Linked DNA regions of Bombyx mori. The protein of the gene in region 2 binds, or shares a complex with, the protein of the main gene of each other region. Links are inferred from orthologs where the notes say so. Each region holds a gene or a part of one and is shown on either strand. Other genes may lie near its edges.

Region 1 (3,252 bases), on a different chromosome or scaffold from region 2:
TTTATCAACTTATGCAATTATAATTTAATATTAAAACAAGACCACGCCATATTAAACATTAAAAAAAGCTATGCAATAGCTTAAAATAAAGAACCTCGTATTGTGGATAATCAGCGCTGTTCGATTTATCGACCTTGAACAGCCTTAGCTGAGCCACCTCCTTTTGTCTTTTTTTTAATTTTTATTTTTCTTGTATTTTATTCTATTTAATGTGAAAGACAATAAATGATTTTATTTTTATTATTACCCTTTTGTTTGCTGATGTTCATGAGCAACAACGACCACTTATAAAATGACAATATAGCCTATCTATGTGCTTAATGCGAGTGTTTTAACGTTCTCGATAGCGTAAAAGGTAACATAAATTTGCCGCTAGGGACAAACGTTCCAACTCCATACTAATTACATGCGAGAACGTTAAAAAAGTCGCACTAAACACGCTGTCTATAACAAAATAAATTACAAATTAGAATCTTAAAATCAAAACTTCCCAAAATTTTGATTTTGTATTTGGTAACTTGACGAAACCCTAATCCCGTGCATTGTACAATAATCAAAAGAATAACGTGTTAGTAAAAAACTTTATTTGGTGTTACATAAATATTTAGATCTAAATTAAATTATAAAATATCTGTATTATACATTAAAAGGGTTAAAAACAATATTACAAAGGGTGCGAAACAAGTTTTCTTTTTTCTTTTAAATCATAATTTTCGTCTAATGTAAGGCATGCTAAAAACGTGACATTAATATACAATGCAGTAGCATATTATAGTCAAAAGTAGCATTCTTCAAAATGGAATGAATATAATTTTTTGAAATATATTTATCATTTCAGAGGGTTTTTCAAATATCATTTATATCGGTCTGATTGTCACTGTCATTGTCCCTGGCTAAGATAATCTTATATAATTAATATTAAAAAATAATTAGATCCAAATTCGTCATTTTGACCACACATTTGCTGTAATATTCAGTTCAATTGGTTTATAAAAATCATCGAAAATTTATATTAATAATCTTCATATAGTGTACAATATCTACAGATTTGTTTCCGTTTTGGCTTATGAAGCCAAGCCTTTTGAGTTCATTAATATAAATAGTTAACTTAGAAATAGTTCTACGTTTATATTTTGTGCTTTTAAATTCAGGTTCACGTGACCAAACTGATATTTTGACTTAATTCAAAACATAGTTTACAAGCACATTCAACAGATACATTTTTATTGCCAATAGAGTTAAATTGACTTATAGCTCATCTGGTCGTAAATAGATAAGAGCGACTTCAAAATAATATTTTTAAAGGAGTCAAATCAATAAATAAATCCATTGCACTTGAACAAAATAGCGAACGCGTCAATGATCAGTGCGAGTAAAGACAACATTCATAATCATTATATTTTGTATGGTATAAAATAATTAATTATTACATTTTACACTTAATATATTACATTAATAAGTTTAGTTGTTACATAGTAGGTACTTCAAGGCACAAATGGCAAGTGCATACTACATTTATTATATTTTTAAATTTGTTAGTTAATTATGTTAAAAAAATGTGAACACCGACATTACTGTGGTATAGTGGTTTAGTATAGTATAGACCAGTGATGGGCAAAGTACGACCCGCGGAAGTATTTTAATCCGGCCCGCCGAGAGTCCGTCCGTCCCAAATATTCTAGTCGGCAGTTTGGCGCGTAAAATAAAATCTGACGTTTATAATTGAAAATCTTCGAATTTTTCAAAACTCCCCTCAAAACACCCCTGACGAATTGGAGCTTTCATTATCTCATTTATTGGAGAAAAAAAAACATTTTTCTATAATTCTGGCCCTCCTCTAGTATTTCCTAAACATTGTGGCCGCCATTAAAAATGTTTGCCCACCACTGGTATAGACAGATTAATGTCGTTTATTCCTTGTATTTTTCGTTAACGGCGGACCGTGTAGTGATGAGCCCGACGTAGCCGACGTCGTAGTTCAGCCGGGAACTTCTCGTAGCAGCGTCTACAGGCGGGCCTCTCGTCGTATTCGTAGAACTTGCTACGCGTGCTCAGCGGCGCATCGCAAACGGAACACGCAAAATGATGTACGCACCAAGCCTTGTTCAATGCGGTGAATACTACGAATAAAATTACAGTTATTAAGAAAAAAAATGGTAAATTAAATAGATATTTTTGATTCGACCAGTTTGTGTTATTGAAGTAGCAATCAGCAGTACAACACAATAAGTTACATATTATGTGTAACATGTTACTTGTGATATATAACCTATATTATATTCACATTAAAACCTTCATAATTATAATACATACTAGCACACAAATTTTTAAGAAGTTAAGAATATATTCATTCGATAATATAAAAAAATCAGCTAAATAAGCAAGATATAATTTCAAATCACACTGAATATAATTAGTTTTTAAGTGAATTGTGATATTATAAAAACGTTTATGATTATTAACCAATAACACAAATATTGTGTTCAGAACTTATTTTGTGCAACAGCTATGTGTAGAAATCTTTCCCGTTCTTTTACCACTTATGCTGGTAATCTCGTGAGGTTATGTCAACTTAACTGTGCGAATAGGTGCTCTAACCTGACGACGTTGCTTCGCAAAATCTACCACCGGATCGGAATCGCGACCCACTGAGAAGATCCGACGAGAAACTCAGTAGGCTTTTTCCAGTATTAGCCCGCACGATATTAAAGCATTATTAAACTTAGTTAAAAAACAAAGATTTTTATTAAATTTAACTATTGCGTGTACTCCACTTGGCCATTTTCGATTGTTTTCTTTATTAAAAATTATATTTATTAACACAACTTACTTATTACGCAGAACAGTGTACTTAAACGATAAACCAATACAATACAGACAATTATGAAACCTCATCATATCACATGCCGAAATCATTAAATTTTAAATGAAATAATCGAATAGTTACCGTCGCCGGCGATAACTTGATTACAGACGTAGCACAAATTGCCGAACAACTGGTGATAATGTTGTTCGCAGTAGGCCAAGCCTTTCTTTTCATAATGACGATGGCCGTGAAATGGTTTCTCGCATTTGGCACAAACGAAATGCTGAAAAATTAAATTTTCTTTAAATTATTATTTTTATTGCTTTCGACTCAAACGGAACAGGTAGCAAACGGGTGATGATAACCAGTGGTCGAAGTAGGTAGATTGATTTTTTATATACTTGCGTCAAAATATTATAATATACACTAATATGGAATAATGGATT
Region 2 (4,295 bases):
TCACAAGAACCGGGCGAAGTCGTTGTGGCCTAAAGGATAAGACGTCCGGTGCATTCGTATGTAGCGATGCACTGGTATTCGAATCCCGCAGGCGGGTACCAATTTTTCTAAAGAAATAAGTACTCAACAAATGTGCACGATTGACTTCCACGGTGAAAGAATAACATCGTGTAATAAAAATCAGACCCGCCAAATTATAATTTGCGTAATCACTGGTGGTAGGACCTCTTGGGAGTCCGCACGGGTAGGTACCACCACCCCGCCTATTTCCGCCGTGAAGCAGTAATGCGTTTCGGTTCGAAGGGTGGGGTAGCCGTTGTAACTATACTGAGATCTTAGAACTTATATCTCGAGGTGGGTGGCGCATTTACGTAGTAGATGTCTATGGGCTCCAGTAACCACTTAAAACCAGGTGGGCTGTGAGCTCGTCCATCCATCTAAGCAATAAAAAAAAAAAAGAATCGCCTCGACGAAGGATCGGCCATCCGCCTGGATGACTCCAGCACGGACCGCCGAGATTGGACCCTCCGCGCTCTGACCACACTGGGGCTGGGACGCGCCACGCCCCAGGCACGCAAGTTAGCCCTCCACTGATAGTCAGCGGCGAACGCCTCCGCCTCCAGGACCCAAGGCGGCGTCCCAGCCAGTACACACGCCGCCTCAAAAGAGATAGTGCGATAACCACGGATGACCCTGACCGCGGGTCATTACTTAATAGTGAAAAAAAAACTTAGAATATCTATGTTTAACCGAAAACTAATTCCAAGATATATCCCACCGACTTGATAAACATCAAAATGCTAATTTCACCCCACCTTCAGACATGGGGTTGAAATATCGATTGTTTTTATGTACTATGTATTATATAGTGCTGCCATTTGCGACAGAAATGTGCAAGATGTGGTACCTACAAGTACGATATTATTTTATTATCACAGATATCATCGATCATGAATACGGAACGGTACCTACTTAAAAAATAGTACTTGGCTACATCTAGCTACATTGGATTTGACCGATTGTCGCAGTAGACACTGGCTCCGCCCAGTAGTCTTATGCGTAAAACCACAAACGTTTAAGGTACGCGCTTAATTCGCTCCTGCCTCAGCTGGACTCTTTATTATGATTCACCCACTCCACAAGGTTAGAGCGTATCGCGTATCGTCTCCACAGTCCGTAATGTGTGTCAATCACATTGACAATCGACACAACTACAACTACACAGCTAACTACTAAAACAGTACTAAGAACTACAGCACGGGCTTCAGAGCTTGAAGCATCAGTGTCCTTATCACACTTGAGCCCGGACACGCTTGTCACGACAGGGCATATCTCCTATACATTCCCTAGACCAGCCGTAAAATCAATAAATAGCCGAGATCACGACTTCAGTGCGGGTCAAGAATAAAGCCACCCATTTCTTAAAGGGCCGAGATGCAGCTCACCTGATTGCATAAGAATTTTTTATCCAAAATCAATAACGGACTCATACAAGTACCCGAACTTTCCAATTAACCCTAATGCTTTGACAGTGCTATGATATGATCAATGCGGTTATATGCAGAAAATGATCCCTTCTTCAATCTGTGTCCACCCAATGAGTGTGAGTGAGTGTAGGACTCTTCATATGCACTCCATTCCTGCTAATGATGCAGCTGCATAACTTTGTGTAGACTCAGGGTATGTTGTAATATACTCCAATGTTAGGGAGAAGTCCTCTCAGTTGGCAAGCAGAATCTACTGGCCAAAATCAGTTCAGAATAAAACGAAACTTTTCAGATTGAAGTGATAAGTATAATGAAGGCCTAACACGAGAATGAGTTACTTCAACTGAACCTGACTAATGCAAACACTTCAGAGTTCAATGTGAGTATTGACATGTGACGCTCACCATAACTCTAGTTTGACTAGTTTGACTAGTGTTATGATCAAGTGTCAATTAATCACTGCCCACAGGATTAAAAGTTTTGGAAAGCATTTGGTAACATACTGATCTCCTAATACCAATTATTGCTACACTCTTCATACTCTCATTATTTTCACTATCATATCATCATTATTTTGCATTATCATACATTATCTATGACCTGTTTGGTAGCAACCAGTAGATTTTGAAATGGCCAAAGTGTGAACTAATGCTTTGCTTATAAATCATTTTGAGTGATCCAAGTTTGCTAATGATATTAAAATCTCAGGAAGCTGCTCTAGGTATCCTAGAATCACCCCAACTTTTCAATTGTATGAATTCATAGAAAATTTTAGGATACTGCATATACAAGTAACTCTTTATCCAAAGAAAGTGCAACATGTTTCATTATTTCTGAATTAAAATTGAATGTGGTTGCAACTGCAGTGCACATCTGGTCTATCATACATAAATGGATAGCATAGAAGTAGCTATCAAACTTGAAGTTGATAACTATGGTAATCTGAAAGGTAGCAACCTTCCAGATTTCAGACGGTATGTAACTGAGACCCCCTCTTTAATATGTTCTACTACGATCCCCTCTTTAATATGTTCTACTACGATAGCTTTGTAAACAAGTGACCCATTACTTACTTTTTGTAGTGACCTAAATATTTTGATAGTGAAATTCCCCTTTTATAGAGAGCTGGAATAAAATGCTACATAAAAATTATGTGTTAGATAATAATTTGTTACTGCTCCAACGGAAATTAGTATAAAACTTTAATATTTACGCGAAATAAGAAAACCAGTTATTAAAGACTAATATTAAGATTGTATTGTTTCAACATTAAAGTTTGTAACATGAAAAACACTTCCAACTTACCAGTCTTAAATGTGTTCGTAAATACATTGGTAAACAAACCCTATTAACTTTTTTAAGCTATCGAAAGCATTTTATTTTCAATAGGAAGGCACAACATATTCTATTTCGGACACTCGCTCGCTATTCGCTAATCCTAATAGCTCTTTATTTAACTCTGTATTGAGTATTGTCTATGCTCATCAATAGAGTTCGGGATGTCCTTCGACTCTTTGAATCGATTCTAGCTCTGCAAGCTCAGGCCGTTTTCCAATTACAGCCCAAGAGCGCATTATGCGGCATAATGCTCAACTAAGCTTCAGCATAATTCGGCATTGTGCGTCACTGAGTCGCATTATGCTCTGTAATTGGAAAACTACTTAAGTAATGTTTAATTACAGAGCATAATGCGACTCAGTGACGCACAATGCCGAATTATGCTGAAGCTTAGTTGAGCATTATGCCGCATAATGCGCTCTTGGGCTGTAATTGGAAAACGGCCTGAGCTTGCAGACTTAACATTAAAGTATACCGCGGTCAACATTACATAGATCTAGATGTGCAACATCAGCAACTGGGCACTCGCCAAAATGGTGTGGTGCGTAAAAGTACCGGTAGCACGTCACACGGCCTCATCCGAGGAAATCACCTCTTAGAGTCCGGTCTTATACACGCGATGAGGTCACAATGCTGCTCTTCGCAGGCGGGCACGCCGCGATCATGTGCTCTTTCTTGTCTTCATCGCAAAGTCAATGTCGGCACTCCATTGCGATCTCCTTCGGATGGCTCTATGTGGATACTCGCCGAAATACCTATTGCTAGTTAGCCACCATCAGCTGGAAGGTGAGATATGGCTGGTCGTGGTTTACCCAGTCCACGAGGACCGGGCGCACCACATCAACGATCCAAAGATAGTCATCAATTTTATAAATCGAGTCTTTAACAATAAAGTCATAGCCGTAACTCGAAAGTGACCTAGGCTACTGACGCTCATAAGTGACGGTGATTAATTGCCGTCAGATGGGCTGTATGCTCGTACGCCATGCAAACTAAATAACTTAGAATAAAATGAACATGCTGATCAAAAACAGTGGAACAAGCAATATGTTAGATAGTCAATTTGATATTGAGTACCAATTTAATGACGGGACTGGAGTCTGGAAGAATCCAAGAAACAAGTCCAATAATTTTGTTTCATTTTAACATGCTTGTGCACATAAAGATTTCAAACAGATTTGACAGCTGACATACCTACCTCATACATTTCGATACTCAATCATAGCTTATAAGTTAATTCTAAAATGTTTCTAAATAAATGTTTCTAGTTTTACAGTCCACACTAGAATATGCTAGCTCTACGTTCCTTAAGTGTATAATCTATGAGTTCACACTGCGAGCGCGCCCTCAGCGCCCTGCACCCGCGCCCACACCTGCTTCCCCTCTCCACGGCCTCGTTCCTCTATCCCGCTCCGCTTACCAGTTTTATATGAATTTTTAAACTATATAGTTCGCAACTTAAGTGTATAA

What was found.
Region 1: integrin beta subunit 1 (region 2) and LIM and senescent cell antigen-like-containing domain protein 1 share a complex: the UniProt entries of both Caenorhabditis elegans proteins name them as parts of the integrin containing attachment complex. The link is inferred for Bombyx mori from reciprocal best matches to the Caenorhabditis elegans genes pat-3 and unc-97.

The regions. Positions count from the first base shown.
Region 1 is NC_085112.1:7,031,774-7,035,025, forward strand, and holds the end of LIM and senescent cell antigen-like-containing domain protein 1, read right to left. Parts: intron 3,090-3,252; coding exon 2,948-3,089; intron 2,121-2,947; coding exon 1,930-2,120; 3' UTR 568-1,929; downstream 1-567. UniProt on the Caenorhabditis elegans protein: Component of an integrin containing attachment complex, which is required for muscle development and maintenance. Probably function in adherens junction.
Region 2 is NC_085116.1:9,296,075-9,300,369, reverse strand, and holds the start of integrin beta subunit 1, read right to left. Parts: upstream 2,973-4,295; 5' UTR 2,793-2,972; intron 2,613-2,792; exon of another isoform or gene 2,561-2,612; intron 1-2,560. UniProt on the Caenorhabditis elegans protein: Integrin alpha ina-1/beta pat-3 is a receptor for laminin. Integrin alpha pat-2/beta pat-3 recognizes the sequence R-G-D in its ligands. Plays a role in cell migration, morphogenesis and probably in cell-cell interactions.